3 linked regions of the Lytechinus pictus genome follow. The protein of the gene in region 1 binds, or shares a complex with, the protein of each later gene. Links are inferred from orthologs where the notes say so. Each region holds a gene or a part of one and is shown on either strand. Other genes may lie near its edges.

Region 1 (7,265 bases):
TTAATTTTTTGCGTATAGTCATAAACAGGATGCAAATCCTATAAATTGGTGATACACTAACCTTAATGAAAAGGGGACACGTATCTCATTTATCAAGTAAACATAAAAGAGGCGTAATGAGCCATAAATTTTGAGCGGACAAGATATGGCGTATCGGGTAAAATTAATACAAAGTTATGAGAAGGCGAAGCAAGCGAAATTTTAACATTTTTATTGCAAAAAATCAATTTTGTGGTAGTGTTTGACTTAATATTAAACAAATGATATCATATTTCAGATTCTCTCTTTCCTTTTCTCCCTTTTTCTTGGTCGTGACCTTTTTTGTGGGGGGGGGGGGCCAAGCCCCCCCCCCCCATCTGTGCACCAGTAAGATATAATGTGAGTGAAAAAGTGCGATCTTCTATTTATTATTCATAGATCGGGGGGGGGGGAATTATTGACTGTTATAGAGAAATTCATTAAGATGATACAAATATCAAGCAAAAAAAAAAGGGGGAGACGAAAGAAGGAATAAGACAGTCTAGGTCTGCATGCCTGGGTCGTGTAAAATATGAGGTCACATTTAGGTTGCCCCCCCCCCCCCCCCCCCGTGTAGAAATATTCCCTAAGAGGAGACATTGAAAATGTTTTTTTTTAATTGGGGCTCATTTTATTCATTATATGTAAATTGTACGAGGAAGAGCAAAGACTAAAACGCATCTTTTCTCTCCGCGCCATCAACATCTGCGCACTTCCTGCCATGTCCCTGGGAAGCGGGGGGTGCTGGGGGTGCTGCATTGAAGCACCCCCAACATTTTCCTTGGGGTGCTGCGTGTATTATTCTCCAGAGGCAGCACCCCCAGGTTGTCCGGAAGATGTTTAAAAGTGGAAAATATAACCAAAATTACCTTTTAATAATGTAGTGAAATCCCCATTTTTTGCTTTGTTCTCCATATGTTGTTGTGAAAACTTTTTTTTTTTTTTTACTTTTCAAATTTACATCAGCACCTCCAGTAAAAACTGTGGGGGTATTGGGCAGCAGACCCAATACCCAGGCAAAGAAGAAGAAGAAGTAGGGCCTACCTCTCTCCCTTCTTCATGTTCTTGTTCATTGAGACCACATTACGACTGTTCGCGATCCGATTTTGGAACAAATCGCATTTTGCTCATTTTCTGAAAATGTGAATGGAACAAGTCATTTTATTTGAGGTTAAAATTAATTGAAAGAATACCAATATAACCATTTTGTAAGATTGTAAGCCTTTAAAGGCCAAATTTGTTTCAAATCGTAGCAAATCGTACGACTGCTATGACGTCATTACGACTAACGTTATTAAACATTCTAGGAATTAAGGATGATAGCATAGTCACATATTTGAATATAGGGATTCGTACGATGATCTCGAACATATATTACACAGTAAGATATTCCAAGTCTCAATATTAGCATCGAATTCTGCTACGTTTTATTCCAAAATTGAGTCGCAGACCAATCGCAAGGTGTGCGGTCGCCTTTATAATGGTGAGTGGTGAATTATCGGATGGTCTAATACCACTTAGTCTACTTATCAGTTCGTCCAACTTCACATAGTCTAAACTCATTTCGTCTAAAACCAGTTCGGCTAATATCCAATTCGTCTACTTCCCCGCGCACTTGGTCTAATTTTCATTTCGTCTAATTTTCATATGGTCGAATGACCGTTTGGTCTAATTTCCACTTGGTCTAATATCCACTTGGTCTAATGACCACTCGGTCTAATAGCCAAATGGTCTAATGACCACTTGGTCTAATAGCCAAATGGTCTAATGACCACTTAGTCTAATAGCCGAATGGTCAAATGACCACTTGGTCTAATAGCCAAATGGTCTAATGCCCACTTGGGCTAATCGTCACTTGGTCTAATTTTCATTTGGTCTAATTCACACTTGGTCTACTGTCCATTCATTCTTATATAACATCATTCATTATTATTCATTTGATCTAGAATTAACAAATATATTAATGGATAAATAAATACACCATGCATCAGTTAATACATGCCGCCAGGATCCGGAGGGGTAGAGCCGCGGGGTAGGGCTGGTGGGCGCTGGAGGACTATCGATGAATTATTCCAATGAATCATTCTAATCAAATATAATTCTCATAATTAGGCCTATACATGTATATCGATTATATAGATGATGGTGAAAATTATATCAAACTCATAATCATTATCACCTCATGTACATTTTACAGAACAATATAAGTTGGGACCTTGTACTATAGCTTCTTATAATGGTCGAATGGCGGGGTTTCATCAGAATAGCATTATTATGAAGAAAGGAACGAAAATATAATGCAATTGATTGTGTGGATACGTATCAGGTTAACATGTTTATGCCTCTTATACCAGTTAGATATAGTTTAATAACACTATACACATACAGGTTTATTGGGTTCCATCTTGGTAGCAGCCATTTCTCGATTCTAACCTTCTTCGTATAAGTGGTCACGTGTAATAACATAGTATAGTCTACGCTTGCAGGCCTGTATCAGTTATCATCACAGTAGTCAGTCATTATCTACTCATTGGCCCGTATTCTGAAGTCGGGTTTAACTTAAACTCAGGTTTAAAGTTGTGGTTTAAGTATGGCGAGCCAATTGTTACATAAATTACTAACTGTAGAGATATCATACTTCAGCTCATTTGGCTCTCAAATAATTCATACATGTGTAATTGTCTAGGAAGTATAAAAAGATTATTGGCTTCACCATCGATGAATCAGGAAAGAGCACAGTAAACATAAGAAACATACAACTTAATGACAAATTTGATACTATTGGCTATTCCCATACTTAAACCACAACTTTAAACCTGAGTTTAACTTAAACCCGACTTCAGAATACGGGCCATTCTGTTTTTTGTTTGTTCTTCTTCTCCTCCTCCTTAAAATGGATTGACAGGGTTAATTCCCAGCCCATCAGGGAAATCAAGAAAATCAGGGATTTTAAAAAACATTTTTCCAGTCAGGGAAAAATCAGGAAATTACCTCAAATCAGGGGAAAATCATATAAATGAGGGCAAAATCAGGAAATTTTGATCGGCCCAAAAGTCGAAAGCACGATAGTCCGTCAGACTCTGTTATATTTTGTTGTATATATATCAAAACAATTTATTGAATGACAGGTTATGGTGTTCTTTTTTTTTAGTGTAGCCTCTTTTACTACAGTACAAGTACTGGTACATATGATTAAAAATGATAATACATGCTATTAACAAACAATATACGTAATCAACTGCATCATCTTAGAAAACATGAGAAACTGGGAATGGGTTTGAATAATTATCAGGAAATTTTAAAACCTTATTTTTCCACCTCTATGAACGTATATTAGCGTTTAATATTTCACAGAAAAATAGAAAATTTTATTGTTTTTCACCAAAACCTTCAAAAAATCCCCATTAACAGACAAAAGAAAATCCCCCAATATTTTTTTTAATCCCCATATTTTCAAAATTTGGGGATGGAAATATACCGTCGTCACTCTAACTGTACTCCAACATCGAGGGGCGCACGTGTGAAGCTTCGAAGCCGGCGCGCGGAAAGTAACTTTAAGATTTTCACCAGAAAATTGATAACAAGTCACTAAACTTTACAAATTAGACCAAGTGGCATGTAGACGAAATGAATGTTAGACTATCTGGAAATTAAACAAAGTTGAAATTAGCCGAAGTGGAAATTAGACCAAGTGGAAATTAGCCGAAATGGAAATTAGACCAACTGCACATTAGACCAACTGAATAATGGACCAAGTGAGGATTAGACCAACTGCACATTACACGAACTACAATATAGACCAAATGAATAATGGACCAAGTGAAGATTAGCCCAACTGGGCATTAAACCATTTGGCTATTAGACCAAGTGGTCATATACCAATTGGCTATGAGACCAAGTGGTCATTAGACCAATTGGCTATATATAGACCTTAAGTGGTCATTATAGACCACTTGGCTATTAGACCAAGTGGTCATTAGACCAATTGGCTATGAGACCAAGTGGTCATTAGACCAAAAGAGAATTGGACTAAGTGCATGGGTAATAATAGTCTGAATGTTGTTAGCCCATCTGACGATTAGACCAAGTGATATTAGACCAACCGTCAGTAAACCTTTATAATCACCCCCTAGCAAAAATAAAGGACTTATCGCCCTCTCGTCAGTAGAGGGCAGCAAACACAACTTGTTTTCACTTCCTTCTATTTCTCTCTCGCACAAACGTGAAGTCGAGCGTCGCCCACCTTGAGAAAAAACACCTTTTTTCCCCGGAAAGTGCTGGAAGAATCTGAAAAGTTCTATTGGGTACTGGAGACACAGCATCAAGATGATTTTATTAGAGATAAAGAATAGAATAATCGAAGAGACACTTCTAAATAAATTCGAAGCAGCGGTAGCCGGGTGAGTAAGGAAGTGATTTGGGAATGGGTTGCCTCCCATCTTTGTGCGTACACTGGGGTCACGGTCCCATTCTGAGAGAGTCGTGTTGTAGGAAGTGTAACTACACTGCTCGTAGACTGTACTCTGTAATCTGTATGTGTCTAGATCAGCCATTCTCAATTACTTTTTTTGAAGCGCCACATTTCTTGTTGAGTATCTGTAGTGCGCCACTATATCCATTACACCAGCAAAGTATTTTAGAAGGGGTCTAGAGGCCCTTGGTGGGGGTCGAGGGGGCAGAGCCCCCAGAAGTTTTTGAATGTTAGGCCTTTTAGATTGCCCAGAGGGGCTTTAATTAATATCAACAGAAGAAATACGAATGCCAACAAACTACACATTATATTTATCAAAAGAAAAATGATTAGTGACTTTTTCACAACATACCAATGAAACAACTAGTTCAGACTGTTCTGCAACAGATCTATTGGCTGAAGCAAGTGGCGTAATGAGTAAAAAGAAAATGAGGGGGCTAAATATGGCAGCTGAAGCAAAAATGTTGAGCTTTTCAATACAAAAATCTATATTTTGACATAATATTAAGAAAACAATACAATATTCAACTCTTTCCCTTTCCTTTTCTCCCCTTGTCCTTGAAACACTAGGGGGCCCCAATCCCCACCCCAATCTGTACGCCAGTGGCTGAATTTACAGTCCCTGATTTTCAATGGGCCGAAAATTAGGCGTTGCACTGCACTAACGCCAAAAATTGCCCCCCCCCCTCTCTCTCTACAACTCGTGTTAAACAAGAGTACATGCAGGCAATCGTGGCAGGCAATACATCGAGCATATTTCACTTTTACAACTTCGGATTTTAATCGGCTTCGGAAAACAAAGTTTCTGCTTGTTATGTCCCTAATGGCCTAATTCATTATCTTTTATTATCAGGATGTCCTTTGAATATCATATCATTTCATATTTAACTCTTAAGCAAAACGTATACTCAGGAAATGCAAAATTACTCGCCGTAGAAATAGAAATCCTACAAGCGGGGCTTTCAAATCACTTGTGTGGCACATAAACTTTGTAGCATAGAATAAATAAAAAGAACACCATCGATCCTCCATTATAAGGATTATCGAGTGCTAAATTTGACAAAATTTGAGGAAATCAATAAGTACTTAAGTTTCAAGTAAAGATTTTTTGCTTTCTTTTTGTATTAAAATGATCACCAAATCCTCATGTTACTGGTATACATTTTTCTCCCCAATTTTTCCTTATTTTTTTTATACCGGCTCCCAAGCGCCACTCCACAAGGCTCGGTGCGCCACCATTTGAGAATTCCTGGTCTAGATCTAACGTTAGATCTACCAGTATAGTCACGTATTGTATTACCGGACACTATTATGATTCCGGACGCGCATATTACTGCGTTCTAAAACAAATTTGTACCGTAAGACTTCCGCAATTCGATTTCACAGAGCAATACATAGAACAAGATTGCAAAAACAAGGCAAAAAATCCAACTTTTACCTAATTATCTCTAAAAATGAAAGAAAATGCTTAAAATATCATATAACGTAGTTTTGTATTAACAATTGATATATTTTCTAACGGAAATATGGGCCTGATTTTGCCGAATTTCAATCTCGTCCACTCCTTCGATCGAATGATGAGGTGTGGTGAATTGTGGGTGATCATCGGTGGCTAGTTCTCAAGGGTTCCGGGACAGCCCGACCACCGGACAGCCCGACCCTGGACAGCCCGACCCGCTGCCCTGGACAACTCGTCCCGGTCGAGTTGTCCAGGGTTGGCTCTGAATCGGACAACTCGACCACTTGAATTCTTCTTCAACATTTCAGGTGAAGATTGAAAATGGTCTGATTTGCTTTATCAGAAGAGGTGCAGACTGCAGAACTTCAAATGTTATATGTTAAATTTTCTGTCGAGAATGTATTGTAGAAACATGGATTATGCGGGAAAATACTTTTGAAGTAAAGTTTGAAATTTTATTTCATGAAATGTTGAAGAAGAATTCAAGTGGTCGAGTTGTCCGATTCAGAGCCAACCCTGGACAACTCGACCGGGACGAGTTGTCCAGGGCAGCGGGTCGGGCTGTCCAGGGTCGGGCTGTCCGGTGGTCGGGCTGTCCGGACCCCGTTCTCAAGGTACCCGTGCGCGAGGTTTACCGTGAGTAGAGCCGTCGGCAGCGTATCGATAGAACTTGATAAGCGTCACGATACGAACGCGAGCATATTATTATTGGAAAGTGCCATGGAACATGCAGCTAACAAGACAAAATAGATAAGTTATCAAACACAAATTTATTACCAACATCTGCTCAGATTCGATATAAAAAAAAACAAATAATACTTAGAATTTACTCATGATATGATATAAGAAGAAAAAAATCACACAAATTTGCTCTTACATCATTATAATCAAGGATATCTTTACCCGTCCGGCGCGCGTCCGGAATCATGATGTAATTTGTCGCGCACGAAAATAATTGTTTTTCGTGGAGGGGTATGCGGCAAGTGCGATGCAAAGAAAATTGTTGGTAAATATAAAATAATTTTATCATATTCATAATTTTCATAATATTTGGAATAGCGGGTGTGAATTTTTCTTGATTGTATTTCCTCTAGTTGTCATTTTTAAAGCACTGAAATAAAGGTGTCCGGCAATAGGATACACTGCCATACCACGACTTTTACTAGGCTGAGTTGATAGTTTAGTTAAGTGTGTGTGTGCAGGAGAAGGTAGACAATGTTAGATTATATTAAACTTTAGGGTATTATTTAGACAGCTGGCAGCCGTCTGCATGTTGCGAGGAGTTTTTTAAATTAAACATTTTAATTTTTTTTTTAA
Region 2 (7,591 bases), on another chromosome or scaffold:
AGTGCCCCCCCCCCCCCCCGGGTTACCGCTAATTCCTTTCAAATGATGATCAAAACATAGGCATCCTCGATCCTTTCGTTGGTCATCATAAGCTGCCATCTTGGATGACGTTATCATCCTTACAGACGTATTTACCAGTCGCCATATATCGCGATACCTGCCCCTGCGTTGCGCTTGTCTATGTGCGTTCGTTCAGAACTTTTCGCTCGCATTTGATTGGCCAGGATATAGAAAATTCTAATCAGAAAGCCTTGATAAAAGCCTAACTCAACTAACGTAGAGGGCAGCAACATACAAATTTAAAATAAAGGAATAAATCATCGGTAACATATATTTTCGAATTTTATTAGAAAATTTGTTGTAACAAAAGAAAGATTATAGTCTAACAAAAATAAAGGCCATCGTTCAAGATAATATAATGTCATTTAGACCTTAAAAAAAAATTAAATCTAGACAAAACACGAAAGGCCCGAATTGGGAGAAATGATTACACACGAGGGCTCGCACTAACGTACTACTTTCGGTAAATGGGGATGAGAGTTAAGTGTCAGAAATCAAAGGTCTCCAAACATGTGATACTAACCAATTTTATGGCATTTTAACCTCCATTTGATACAATTATCTTACATGTACCTTTGTCTGCTTGATTTCTTTTCTAAAGCTTTGCAGAACGATCGTGACATGCAAATTAGGGTCACAATTTTTCACGACACTTTTTTTCAGCCGAGCGCGCACTAGTCTATCGTCATGGAATTTTGAGATCACGATACAAGCAAAACCCTTGACCTACTTTATAATTCTGTAAAGCGAATTTGACTTTGGGATCATGACGCTCGCGTCCGTAACGTTGGGGAAGTACAATAAGAAACAAGATGGCGGCGTAAACATCGGGCAAGTCTCTTCCGTCTTTTCACAATATTTTTTCATTTTTTTGATGAATTCTTGTTTTAAAAATAACAACGAGAGCGTAGAAATGTCGGAAATGAAGTTTTATCCCATGTACATGATTTAGAGCTAGATCTTTTAGAAGGAAAGTAGAAATCTCGGGGGTGAAAGTTTCAGGTTTTGGCTTCCATTGTGTGGGTCTATGGGATAGAAGGCCTGGCTTCATGAGAGTGACCTTACGTTAGTAAATGATTTTTACTCTCTAGAAGCCGCCTGGCTAGGCCTTGCCAGGTTTTAAACTAACCCAGAGAGCTCCCGCCCGCGCAGCGGGCGGGAGCCCAGAAGCTTACAGTGTATTTTACCATTGTCACCGGACTAGGGTGATTTATGGTCTAAATATTTCTCCAAATGAATTGTGAAAACGGAAAGTATACAATTACCACGATTATATGGATGAAGGTCTAACGAGTGGCAGATTCCTGACATCTGGGCACAGTCTGGAACCTCAAAAAAACGAAAAGTTCTCTCCTTTTACCCAGTCTCGATCGGCCATTTTGTTACGATTTTTAACAAAAATGGCCGATCGAGACGGGGTAGAAGGAGAGAACTTTTCGTTTTTTTGAGGTTCCAGACTGTGCCCAGATGTCAGGAATCTGCCACTCGTTAGACCTTCATCCATATAATCGTGGTAATTGTATACTTTCTGTTTTCACAATTCATTTGGAGAAATATTTAGACCATAAATCACCCTAGTCCGGTGAATATGGTCAAATACACGGTAAGCTTCTGGGCTCCCGCCCGCTGCGCGGGCGGGAGCTCTCTGGGTTAGTTTTAAACATGTTATTGTTAAACTTAGTTTTAGTTTTATTTTGTTGTAATAGTTCAAGTTGTATGAACTATGAAGCTGAAACTCTGTGTGTTCTGTTTCGGATCACTTTGTACAATACATATTTTCAATTTAAATTACATGATTAAGGCATCTATTTTATGGTATATTGGGATGTCAAAATTATTTGGATAACCGGAAGTCAATTGTAATGGACAGCGGCGCAGCACGGACAGGTAGCGAAGACCACCAGGCAAGCCAGGCCAGAACGCTCCCGTGGATGAACTGTGCCTCGACCATAAAGGCGTAAGTGAGATATTCGACATCCTTTTCCGCGTTCAATTTAGACACCTTTTAGGGCGTTACCAGTAAACTTGACAACAAGCCTCTGACTGCCAATGGTTACATATAAAGTGAAAATACGATAAATATCGATTCACAAAGTTATTTTTTACTAAAATAAATAATACATACCATCTTTTATCGCACTTCCTACACTACCAGGATCGGAAACGCCCGGTCATCAGCACGAAATGCCTCTCCTGATTTCAACTCAGAGGGAGCCAAACAAGAGTGATCAAACCCAAACAACGACGAAAATGTGGTGGGGAAGCAATCGAGAAGATGCGTAGAATGTGGGAGGAACGAATATAGTATAACCATAGAGATGTATACATCTCTATGACTGCAGGGCTCGACACTAGCGCCGGTCCGACGGTCCCAGACCGGTAAAAATCACTGTCGGACCGGTAGATTTTCAGAAATAGCAAGATTTACTGGTCCGACATGACCAGTAAAAAATATTGTCGGGCCAGTAATTTTTCCAAAAATAGCAAGATTTATGGGTCCGACATAAACAGTAATAAAAACTATTGTTGGGCCAGTAACTTTTTCAGAAATGGTCAAATTCGCTAGTCCAACATAAACATGAAAAATATTCCATGACTCAAATTGCGAACCCTTTTCCTCCCGTTGAATTCTGGCATTCACACACAGAACACACACAGAATGAATCGCATGCAATTTTGATAGGGTAACATACAGTGTACACGTGGCTAGCCAGCCACACAGCCCACATGGTAAATTTCCTACTGGCTGCACGGACGAAGCTTGCTTGGCTAACCTCTGGCAGAAATCTCTCACAGAACTGTCAAAATTCACATTTCACACTAATGAAAAGCTCTTATAATGTCCATATTTCCTAAAAAATTGCCAAAATTGGGGTAACTCTGTCATTTGTAAGCAGTAAAAGGAGAAATTTTCACTTCTGTTTTAGTTCAAAGAGATCGGGTTTCGAGTGATATCGTCTGAATACATGATAGCCCCACATATGCATTTGTGTGTGTGTTGATACACTTGGTTTCTTTTGTAGCTAGTACTAGTATATTTTAATTGAGCCAAAAAGAAACTGATAATTTATTTATGATGATAGTTTTAGCTTTCTTCCTTTGTTTTCTTTCAATCTTTCTTTCCTTCTTTCTTTTCAATCTTTCTTTGTTTCTTCCCTCTCTTCTTTTACTGTCTTTCTTTTTTAATTTTCCCTTTTTCTTTGTCTTTTGTTCTTTCATTCTTTCTGTCCTGTTAATATTTTTCTCTATTTCTAATGCTCTTTCTTTTTCTTTCTTTTTTGATTTCCTTCTTTCTTTAATTCTTGAGTCCATCCATCCTATATTTATCTCTTCTTTCTTTCTTAATTTCCTTCCTTCTTTTCCCCTTTCTTTCCTTCATTCTTTGTTACTTTCTATCTTTCCTCATTCCATCCATCCTTTCTTTACCCTTTCTTGTTTTTATTCCTTCTTTCAGCCCTTTCTCTCTTTCATTCCTTCCTTTCTTCTTTGTCTTTTGTTCTTTCTTTTTCCCCTTTGTTCCATCTATCCTTTTACCTTTTCTTTCTTCCTTTTATTTACTGCTTGCTTCCTTTCCTTTCTTTCTTTGAAGTTTGGTCTTTCTTTTTTGTTCTTCCTTTCATTTATTCTTTTACATTTTCTTTCTTTTTTTTATATTGCTTGCTTGCTTCCTTCCTTCTTTATTCCTTCCCAACATTCCTTTTTCCTTCTATCATTTTCCCTTTTCTTGATTTCTTCCTTCTTTCAATCCTTTATTTCTGTTTTCCTTCTTTCCATCTCTCCTTTTACCCTTTCTTTCTTTTTTTATTCCTTCTTTCCTTCTTTCTTTCATTACTTTGTCTTTTGTTCTTTCTTTCTATATTGATTGCTTCATTTCTTTCCTTCTTTCCTTCATTCTTTTTTTCTTTTGTTCTTTCTTTCCTTCCTTTCCTTCTTTGGTTTTTTTTCCTTCCTTCACATTTTTTCTTTACTTTTTTCTTCCTTCGTTTCTTTTATTCTTTCTTTTTTCCTTCTTTCCATCTCTCCTTTTACCCTTTCTTTCTTGTTTTATTGCTTCTTTCCTTTTTCTTTTTTCATTACTTTCTGTCTTTTGTTTTTTTCTTTCTTTATTGCTTGCATCATTTCTTTCCTTCTTTTTTTTTCTTTCTTTCTTTCTTTCTTTCTTTCTTTCTTTCCTTCCTTTTTTTCTTTCGTTCTTTCTTTCTTATTTTTGTTCTTTCTTTCCTTCCTTTCCTTCTTTCTTTCTTTAGTTCTTTCTTTTTTTCCTTCCTTCACATCTATCCTTTCTTTACCTTTGCTTTTTTCTTCCTTCCTTCCTTTCTTTTATTCTTTCTTCCTTTCTTTCTTTTTGTCTTTCATTCATTCATTCCTTCATTTTTTTTTGGGGGGGGGGGGTAACAAGAAAGGACAGCAAAATAAACTCACACCTTTTTTTAATGTTTTCTTTATTTTTTGGGACCAGTAGATTTTAGGTTCGGACCAGTAAAAAATTGAAAAACTGGGTATCTACTGGTCCGACATGAATAGGTTGGACCAGTAGAAAAAAAGGGTTAGTGTGGAGCCCTGCTATGAGTATAACCAAAATATAAAGCAATAAGTAAAAAAAAAATATATTCATATAACACGTGAGAGTTAAAGGGAGCTTGAATAAAAAGCTATCATGGCAGTCTTAATTCGATATTAATTATTTTACAAAGGGGGAGGGCCTCGTCATACCGGAAATAGGAACGCTCTAGAATTAAAAATTAAGTACATCGGGGGCCGGGGGTATATTTTGCCGTAGGAGAAGGAAACTATTAAAAATTACAACTTGATCTATTTGGGAGCAGATTCTATTCTTGTCTGCGGGGTAGGGTGAGGGCTGAAAATTTTTCATCCACGTTTACCCTTTTTGTTTGTTTGTCTCTCTGTACGTCTGTTTTTACAGTGTTTATTTTTTTACTATTTTTTTGGGGGGGTGGTCATCCTTAAGACTGGAACTAAAATCGATGTACATGCCTTTGTTTACGAACTACCCTAACTTGCCATAAGTAGGCATATATTTTGTCCCATTTACACTAGAATTAATCTTTGATTTTTTTTGTAGATAAAGTTACTTTGTTAGTTGTACGTCTTAAATGTTCTAAATAAGGCCGTATGATATTTCGATATTGTGAAAAAAAATGTTAATGATATAGGTACCTGATGAAGGGTCTCGAATGGCTTATGCACAGAGTCAATACATTATTCATCAAGTAGATTCTTTACAATTGACACAAACTGTGTAATGTGTAATTATTCATTGTGTATAATGTAATCGTCAAATCAAAGATTCGGGGATCGAGGACATATATCAAGCTTATTCACCTAAAAAATAAATGAAGGAAAATATAGAAGCTTGTTTCGAGCCAGAGGAAGGATGTAAAAATAGAGTTTCTAACTGTATACAAAGTACAGGCTTTGTTGCAAACATCGACCCCCTGGCGGCCTTTTCACACGACTGCCGGGGCGCGACGTTATACTCAACAGGCATCATTCAGCCCATCCGGCATTAAACAGGGGCCACAAACAATACAACATTTGATTAGATCTTTTGTTATTGTCTGTTGTATACAGTATCGGACACGTCCAAGCGAAGAGTGCGGGAGCGTTGGTCAACTCTCTGGACATACGAAAGGTCAAGATATAAGTGTATTGGTGAAGTGCTAAAGGAACTGATGCCGAAATCTGTAGGAGGTGACCGATGAATGTTCTGCTCGCTTTTTGTAAGTCGAAAATGCGTTGTAGGGTCAAGAGAATATCGTAATATGATTGTTGTGGTCGTCGGCATGGTCGAGTTGCATTTTTTGGTCATTTGCAATTACACGTGGAGCCGGGACGTGGAGTCACTCCTATACAGAACCTACAGAAGTCCTCTGGAGTAGTCCACAAGCGACTGCATCAGCTGGATCCACATCCTGACTTATGGATCCTGCTGAGTATTGTCGTAGAAGTAGAAGCCCTGGTCGAACTTGACCATATCTATTTACATGTATAAGGGTAGACGCCGGGTAGACGCTGTGCAACGCCAATTCAACTTCAACAGCAACTTTGTGATAAACGAAAATGATTCATGTTTAATTGTTTAAGGATTTTTCTTATATATTATTTGTTAATTTTGGGGGGCGTATTTGTTTTTATGTCACCGATATTATCAAAAAAAGTACAGAAGACCGATATCAGGAGTTAGATGAAACTCAAAGCATATCCATAAAGTCGGTCGTTATGTTAGTCTCTACTTGCCCAGGCCTTGAATCATGAAAGATTATCTTCAGGTTTTTATCTTCATGATTGATATTTTCAGTGGGGGGGGGGGGGGTGGCATATCTTTCATGGCCTACATATCCGGGCTATATACTGTATGCATGATGCAGATCTAGTGCGAAGCGCGATCGTGCTGAAAATGTTTGATACTGTCCTGAAAAGAGAATGTTTTAAGCACATGTTTGACTTGTATGAAAATGTGAATATATCTTACTTTGATGTGCAAGCGTAAGCTGATTTTTTTTATATCCAGATCTGAACATGCCGAAAAGGACATTTTAAGCACCCTTTTCCATTAGTGAGATCATGAACAGGATGCATTCGTATCTCAAAAAAAAAACTGCGAAGCGCGAGCGAAAATTTATTATTTCCTTTAGTGACCTTATTTATTTCTTCCAGTTTCCTATTGCCCCATGTCCTTATTTTATCCACTTAACTTCTTACACTTGTCTTTTTTTTCTTCTTTTTATCATCATTATTTTAATTCTCCCCTTCTTATCCCTTTTTCCATTTTCCCTTTGCGCGACGTCAATGGGAGGGTGCGGCCCCGGGGTGCGGCTATAATATACTCATTCGCCTGCCCCTAGATTTGCATATACGTTTATACTAATCGATAATTTTATGTATACTATAGATACATCATAATACATTGGTATTAGTATGATAGATCCAATCATCATCGCTGATGATTAAAATTTTTTTTTTCAGATGAATTTGAAGGGGGGGGGCTATATAGGTGTCGAATTTTAAAATTATACCGCAGTTTTCTGGCACAGGCATGTTTGTCTTTCAAATTATATTCACAAATGTCTATTGTTGATTGCAGGTGTGTCGCCGGCAGCATCATGCCCGAAGGTCCGAGCGTTAGACGGTGGGGTAACATCGCTCGTCAATTCCTCAAGAAACGCATCAAGGAAGTGAAAGGAGTCAGCAAAGTTATGGAACGCGAGAGATGGAGAGGTGCATTCATCAACGATGTTGTCGTTTACGGCAAGCAGTTGTTTTTTCAACTCCTCAAAGAGGGTTTTTCGAAAGGGGACACAAGTGACAAGGAATTGGACACACCCAGGAGGAATAAAACGCGGAAGGTGCATGATCATCGAGAAAAAGACCAAGATTACGGAGAAGACTCCATCTGGTATCGCTATCACTTCTTGATGTGGGGTAGCCTTCGCGCGAACGAATATAAAGAACCTTCAAAGCGTTCGAAGAGAGCAAAAAGGTTAGACTCACCGAAAGCTCCGAATCCTAT
Region 3 (7,957 bases), on another chromosome or scaffold:
CATTCATTCTTTCAATAATTCACTCTTTCATTCATTTATTTATTCATTTATTCATTCATTGCACTGACGCCTACAGGCGACAATGCTCTGTTGTTGTTCCGTATTCCTATTCCGTCATCTTCTTCTTCTTCCACAAAATCCCATTTGTTTAACACATGGTTTTTGTTAGCTCTGCCCTGGCTCCGTCCCTCATCCAAATTCATCCAAACTTGGTAGACATGTTGTCCAGCATCCCTAGTTGTGCACCTCGTCTTCCATTTTCCAAAATCACTCATGCATGACTATCCAGGCGCCATTTTGTAAATTTCAAGTCCATTTGCATACCATTCCTAATCCCGTCCTAACTCCCGAATCCTGCATGCTACAGACTTCTAACAAATTGCAGTAGATTGTTTAAGAGTTGCTCTTTCATATAAATATACAACTTGCCCTTCAAAATGCCGTCTTCTTGCCCTTAATTCAAATCCAAGATAGTCTACGTTCAAAATTTTCATATTTATTGAAATGCAAATTAGGAAAATCGTAAAATGGCCATAACTTGCTTGTTTTTATTAATTTCCGTCTCATATTTTCATGGTTCACTAATGGTATCATCCTTCACAATTCAACAAATTTTTTTACGCATCAGTGACCATTAAATTTACAAATAGTACCCTCTATTGCAAAGTCAACAAATAGTAAAATGACAATAACTTTGTTGTTATTCATTTCGGTCTTAAATTTTTAGGGTTGGCCTATGATATCATCCTTCATGATCCATATTCTTTTTACGCATCAGTGACCATTACATTTAGAAATAGCGCCCTCTATTGCAAACTAAAGAAATATCAAAATGGCCATAAGTTCCTTGTTTTCATTCATTTCTGTCTCATTTTTTCAGGGTATGCTTATTGTATCATTCCTCATAATCCACATGTTTTTTACGCATCAGTGACCATTACCTTTAAGAAATAGCGCCCTGTATTGAAAAGTCGAAAATAGTATAATGGCCATAACTTCCTAGTTTTCAATCATTATGGTCTCATATTCAGAGTTTGCTAAGGGTACCATCCCTGATAATTCAAACGTTTTTTACGCATCAGTGACCATTACCTTAATAAATAGCGTCCTCTATTGCAAAGTCGGAAAATAGTAAAATTGCCATAACTTCCTTGTTTTAATTTATTTTGATCTCATATTTTCAGGGTTTGCCAATTGTATCATTTGACATAATCCAACTGTGTTTTACGCATCAGTGACTATTCCTTTAAGAAATAGAGCCCTCTAATATTTTGAAAATGGATATCATCTACAGTTTTCTCTCTTCTGTTCCTTGCCCTCTATTAAAGGAGAATGAAACCCTTGAAACCAGCTGAATCCATATCAAAGAGAAAAATCAAAGAAACATATTGTTGAAAGTTTGAGGAAGATTGAATTAATAATAAGAAAGTTATGAGCATTCGAATATTGAGATCACTAGTGCCATGTAGATCCTCCCAACGGCAATGCGACCAAGATCTGTGATATCACACACGTACAACTCCCTCATTACTTTAGTACTTATTTCACTTATATTCTCACTTTTATAGAGTCTATCACAAGGTGAGGTGTTCTCTTTATGAGATGACAAGTACAGAGGTTTCACAACATTATATCATTGATGAATCGTTTGTCATATGATTAGAATGAGCAAAAAGAGATGTTTTGGGGTATATTTTCAGTGTCCAAATGGGAGAGTTGTACGTGTGTGACATCACAGATCTTGGTCGCATTGCCAATGGGAGGATCTCCATAGCATTAGTGATCTCGACATTCAAATGCTCATAACTCTTTTATTGCTAGTCCTATTTTACTCAAAGTTTTGTTGATCTTATTCTTTGATTTTTCTGCTTTCACAAAAGCTAACTTGCTCCAAGAGTTTCATTCTCCTTTAAATCACAGGCGTCAATGCATGCACATCATTCTGATACGATTGCAGTTCTAGTTCATACATACTTTTGTTCTTTCAAATGTCCATCCATCCATCCATCCATTCAATGCATACATATTCAACATATTCAATGAATGACCAGTAGACGGATAGATTTCATCAATCAAACCTACCTTTATTTCATAATTTTTGAAGAAAACGTTTGCCTTGAAATAGAAAAGGGCTTCATCAACGATGTCATTCTCTCCAGCTTAGAGGGAATGAAAGATAGAAAAAAAATAATGAAGATCGTAATATCTAATTCTAAAGAAACATTCATCAGCAGCAATTTACAAAAAAAAAGAAAAAGAGGAATGATATTGATTCACAAATCATATAACAAGATACAAGTACCTACATAACTACTTCAAAATATAAGTCTCACCCAACCCTATAACAAAAAAGGTCAAGTTCATATATATGCTGTAACCAAGGATGGCTATTAACCAATTAAAATGTTTCTCATTTTGAAGTGAAATTTACCCTTTTATAATTAATTAAAATGATAAGAATTAGAGTGCGGACTACTCCTGTAGTTTTTTAAGTGCTTGAGCAATGATATAAAGTTACACTTTCATCGTTATGATTTAGACATTTTCTTTCGATCTATTTAAGGGTTAATGTCAAAAGAATCAGAATGAAATACAATTAGAGCTAAAGAAGTAAGATATTAGAGAGATCATAATTCACAGAATACTGGCCCTGTGTGATTTACTAATAGATACAATAAATTTCAGAAGAATTAGACAAATATAAAATATAGAATAGAAATGATTCTATCACACTTGAAACCCATTTAAGCCATGACATTAGTGAATCTCCCCTAATGGATGATTATGCCAGAGTAAGGTAGTCTCTTTCTAGCCTCCTGTCTTTTAGAACTTGATTACTGTTGTAGGCCTATAATGCTTATGGATTTGAGAATTTAGTAAACATGGGTCAACTTACTGCCAGGTGGTGCTGGTCCTCTGTACTTGGTATTGAGAGGTAGAAGGGCCAGGTTTCCAATCTTCATATTGGTACTCAACTGTGAGTGATAGGCCTGGATATGACAAAGCAATTTGGACATTGATTTCATAGCATTGGTTCTGGGAAGCCAATTTCAGGGAGTAACCAAACTGTTCATCAACACTTGAAATTACAAGTAGAAATCAAGACCAGCAAAAACATCATCATGTAAAACAGAAAAATAAACAAAAATACATGAATTAACCGACATGAATAAGAAAATGTTAGTTTTTACTTACATGTAGTACCGGTACAGGTTGTATATATTTGTAAATTCCTTGCTGAAACATCTAATATTTCCATCTATATTTCTCAATAATTTATCATTTTGTTTCTTTCTGTATCTCATTCTATTTTCTTTCTTCTTCTCCTTCATTCTCTTCTCTTTGCCTTCCAAGTTCTATCTAACTTTCTTCATCATGCTGTTCTTTCCCCTTCTCTAGTCAGATCTAGACCTATCTTTTTTTTAAAATCAATTCCTCCCTTTCTCCTTGACCTTGCTTGGCTTCGCTTCCTTCGCCTACTTCAAGGCTTCATTCTTCTCCTCCACAAACATGTAGCTTTAGATCTAAAATCTACCAGTCATTAATGTTTACTGCCATGACTGCTTGGCTTTGACTGAGCTTTGGTTCATTTTGAATTAAATTTAATTACTTTTCTCATCCTCAGACTCAGTCGATGCAGTCTCAGCTCCCTTTTCTACACAATTTTAAGCCTGGTCTTGAGCCCCGCCTTGCCCAGTCCCTAATTGCCTTACTCCTTTGTCTCATTAGCTTGACTCCACCCAGTCCGAGTCCCAGTTTCAACTTTCAAGTCCTGAAACCAAGCCTAACGCCCTAAGCATGGCTGAATTCGAATAGACTGGTTTCCCTTGCCTTGAGAAGATCACAACACAAAACCTTACGAGTGCGACTGTATGTAAGTTTCAACCCAAATATTGACGTTAATTTGAGGTTAAATATTAAATGTATGAGCACCAAGCTAAGACAGGGGTATAATATCAATTGTAAGAACACTCACCGGCATTTTGGTTTTCAAAATATGGATTCTTCACGGCAAATAAAATGAAATCTCCGTCTTTTTCGTGGACAACAATTGAGCCGTCGTTTCTCACTTCCGTGTGTGACACTTCCGCGGTACATACTCCTCATCGGCGCGCGCGGCGGCATATCGTAGCGCATATTGCGTATCAGAGAGAGTGGGCGTGTGCTCTCTCGCTCCAAAACACAGCTGCACATGGTGTATTTGGGCCCCTTTTTCATGTACTTTACACACCCCCCCCCTCCTTCCCGCATGTACCTCTTTGACAATACTGGAAAAGATTACTAGACCAAATGCTTCGGTCTCTGTTATGTTGGTTGTTTCGCTGAACTCCGTTGGCTCCACTCACCAAATACAGAGGAGAAATTTAAAATGTTAAAAACTCCTCGAAACCATGGAGGTAGAAAGAAACAGACGGCTGCCAGCTGTCTACTATAAGCCTAGCAACTTTTTACTACCTGTATAGATCTAGAAGGACCATCTGTCTATTATAAAATAGCGACCACAAATTCCTTGATAAAACTGAAAAAATTTGGAACACTCCAAAGCGAGGAGCAAATTTTTTGACATTCTATATAAAAAAAAACGGGGACTCTTTTTTTTGTGACAAATTTTGAGATAATAGAAAAATATATTACATTTCACTCCTTCTCCTTGCACTCTTTTTCCATAAGCCCCGCCCCTCCTGTGCACCACTGAGTGCACCACTGAACTACGGTATACTTGCATGGGGTAATTCGTTTAATTACCAACTGGATAAATTGTTAATTCTTCAAAAACGGGTATTGCGAATAATTTGCCATTCTGACAGGTTAAGTCACACAAACATTTTATTTTTCAACAATAAAGTATTAAAGGTGCATGATTTATATAATTTATTTTTAGGGTGTTTCATGTTTCAATTGAACTCAAATGATCTTCCTCATGCTTTTACATCACTATTCCAAAAGAATCAACATTTGCATACTTACCCTACCCGACAGTCGTCATTCTTTCACTTGCATAGGTTGAGAACAGTACTTAGGAAAAGAACGATAGTATATACTGGTCCAGTTTATTGGAATTCCTTGGATATGACACTTAAGCAACTACAAAATTATAATATTTTCAAACATCACTTGAAAGCAAAGCTTCTTCTTCGATATAATGAAACAAACTGAAATTGCTATTTATTGGCATGCTCTATTGCATTTTTGTCCACAGAGCTTATTATCCAGAAGTTTCTTAAATTCTGTTGGATGGCAGCTGCTTACTTTATTTCTTTTGTTTTTTTATTTCTTCGTTTCTTTCTTTCTTTGTTTTTTGTCACGTTTCTGTGTTGTGTTGTTTTTGTGGGTGTAATTTAATTGATAAAATGTTGTCACGTGTATTATTACTAAGTAGTAATGTCAAATGTACTGTATAAAAAAGGGAACCTTATCTACAAGCATTCTGCTTCCAAGGTTTCCTCCACTTTTCCGTTTTTTTATGTACTTAAACATGTATTGATATGTAGTGATTAAGAATGCTTGCTATCTATACTTATATAGTCTACGTCTGTAATGGTTGCTCAGCTTAGTTATGTCAGTTAAGTTTTGTAACATAACGGATTTGTGGAAATAAAACCTAAATGAAAATGAAATGAAATGAGTGGTTTCACTGTAAAAGTAGGCCTATAAAGGAATGTTCTCAGGAGCTAATTCTGTAAAAGTATAAGCAGATGTTATAATATCTATACCACTTTTTGAAAATTGTCATCGTATCTTGCTGAATGATAGGGGGAGTGTGTAAAGATAGGTCTCTTTTCTCAATGTGCTCCTTTGTTTTGTTTTCGTATAATTGTTTAAGTTATTTTTTTATCATATTTTTTTCTAGACGTTCAATATTAAGTGTATTCCCCTTCTCACCATATCTGTCGTCACCCCGATCACCAGTTCAAAAATTTGCTGAACGGTACGTACACAAGAAGAGTCTTTGCGTCTCGATGGTAGACAGAATAATAACATGCTGACCCTCAAATAATTATGTTAAAACTCGGGGATTTCCATTGATTTTCACAGAGTCCGGTGTCGTGGCAATTCATTTCAAGACGGCCAATACAGTTTTAACTAAAAAACCATACCACTGTTTAGAAAAAAGAAGCCTTCTTGTTGGGTCTACTCATTATCATGTTTGCAAATGCGGATCAATGGGGGGGGGGGGGGGTGGGTGCCCCCATATTGGCGGCGCCAAGGGGAAGAGAAAGATAAGAGGAAGTCATGAGTATAAGAGAAGAAATTAAGAAAATGAATGGGGGAAAGGGAGAAGAATAATTGGAAAGAAATTACAAACGAACGCGTTATTAGGTAGAGGGAACGAGTTATAACTTGAGTAGATGGAACGAGTTGCAAGGTTTTTTTTGGGGGGGGGGAGGGGGAGTAGCCAGGGTTCTGTATATAGCAATGATTTTTGGCAGAATATTACGCTTGAGGCTGAGTGAGTACCTTTTAAGCATAGCCCATTTTTTGTGAAGAAATTAGGTTTGCGATGGAATTCTAAATGAATACGTTAAGGAAGAAGGCGATAACACGACGGAACTCACCATGCTCATATAGGCCTATATATATTTTTTAAACCATTTTTTCCCTCCGCGATGATGCCCACAAAAAACGACCACAATCATATGAAATGATTATTATGGAAAGATGAATAAGTTGAAATAGCAGTGAAGAACACATATTTCCTGAAATGTCTCACATTGTATTTTCAAGCCAGATCCCCGGCGTTATCCCCCCTTTCGGGGAAAACAAAATTACATTGCAACTTGTTTAAACTGCTTTGCTATAAATTAACATTTTAAGTAAACATATAACTTCAAAGTTATTTGTGCCAGCTGGATCATCAGAGGAATAAAATAAAACAAACAAATGTAAACAGAAGTCAATTTCATTTTTTATTACGTTTTGTCCCTTAATAATTCACATTATTCAATATACTTATTTCTCCCCCATTTTCCATGCATGATTTCAAAGAAAAAAAAATAAAGTCCACTTCTTACATACAAGAACTACAAATCGCGATGGTTTATATAGGCGTGGGGGGCAGTAAGGCTTTAGTTTATAGAGGCGGAGTATTTCCTTTTCTGTGACTGAACAAACCACATGATATCAGACATGTAGGCCTATAGTAAACTCCAATATAACCTATTATCAAAAAGAGAAAAAGGAGAGGCAGACCACATGGATTTAAATAACTTTAATCATGTCTTTAGAAATATTAGAAGTTAGAAATGAAATAAGATTTTTTAAACAGATACTGTACTTCCAAAATTATTCCTTCAATTTACATGTAAGTCTTTAGAAATGTTTGAAGTTCAAAATGAAAAATCCAAAACAGATAGTTCTAAAAATAATTCCTTTAATTGAACAATGGAGGTAAATGATTTAACATGTATATATTACATGTATGTCTTCAGAAATACCAGAAGTACAAAATGAAATGAGATTCTGAAACATATAATTCAAAAAATTCCTTTGAATTAATTAAAGTATATATATAGGACTTTAATACCTGATATAGCAAATTTTCAGTGGTTACATGATATAAATATTCACAATGTGTGGGTGCTGTGGCATAATTCAAATTGTGATCAATCCACTTATGCATCAAAGTGATAGACAAATCACACCCCATGTTTCCAATATTATTCAAACTATTCAAAATTGAATGAAATAAGAAAATATGAGCATGTCAAACTTCGCATGGTGCCCAAAACGGTGAATAAGGCAATGCAAAGCTGAGTGGAGTGGTGTCACACACACTTTATTGCATTTTATTTCATTAAATAGCAAACAATATGTTAGGATTTTGGCCAAAGAACAAAAAACCTGGTCATGCAATCCTTTAGTTTGCATATTCTGAAACAAGGGAGAGATTCTTTAAACACGTTAAAGAAGAGAAAATTATGAATTTAAAGGGGAAGTTTACCCTGATAAGATGGTC

What was found.
Region 2: actin-related protein 2/3 complex subunit 2-like (region 1) and actin-related protein 2/3 complex subunit 4 share a complex: the UniProt entries of both Caenorhabditis elegans proteins name them as parts of the arp2/3 complex. The link is inferred for Lytechinus pictus from reciprocal best matches to the Caenorhabditis elegans genes arx-4 and arx-6.
Region 3: actin-related protein 2/3 complex subunit 2-like (region 1) and actin-related protein 2/3 complex subunit 3-like share a complex: the UniProt entries of both Caenorhabditis elegans proteins name them as parts of the arp2/3 complex. The link is inferred for Lytechinus pictus from reciprocal best matches to the Caenorhabditis elegans genes arx-4 and arx-5.

The regions. Positions count from the first base shown.
Region 1 is NC_087257.1:14,507,523-14,514,787, reverse strand, and holds the start of actin-related protein 2/3 complex subunit 2-like, read left to right. Parts: upstream 1-4,181; 5' UTR 4,182-4,344; coding exon 4,345-4,418; intron 4,419-7,265. UniProt on the Caenorhabditis elegans protein: Functions as actin-binding component of the Arp2/3 complex which is involved in regulation of actin polymerization and together with an activating nucleation-promoting factor (NPF) mediates the formation of branched actin networks.
Region 2 is NC_087247.1:40,228,987-40,236,577, forward strand, and holds the start of actin-related protein 2/3 complex subunit 4, read right to left. Parts: upstream 3,046-7,591; 5' UTR 2,189-3,045; coding exon 2,186-2,188; intron 1-2,185. UniProt on the Caenorhabditis elegans protein: Functions as actin-binding component of the Arp2/3 complex which is involved in regulation of actin polymerization and together with an activating nucleation-promoting factor (NPF) mediates the formation of branched actin networks.
Region 3 is NC_087246.1:16,006,891-16,014,847, forward strand, and holds the start of actin-related protein 2/3 complex subunit 3-like, read right to left. Parts: upstream 3,027-7,957; coding exon 2,897-3,026; intron 2,160-2,896; coding exon 2,083-2,159; intron 1-2,082. UniProt on the Caenorhabditis elegans protein: Functions as a component of the Arp2/3 complex which is involved in regulation of actin polymerization and together with an activating nucleation-promoting factor (NPF) mediates the formation of branched actin networks.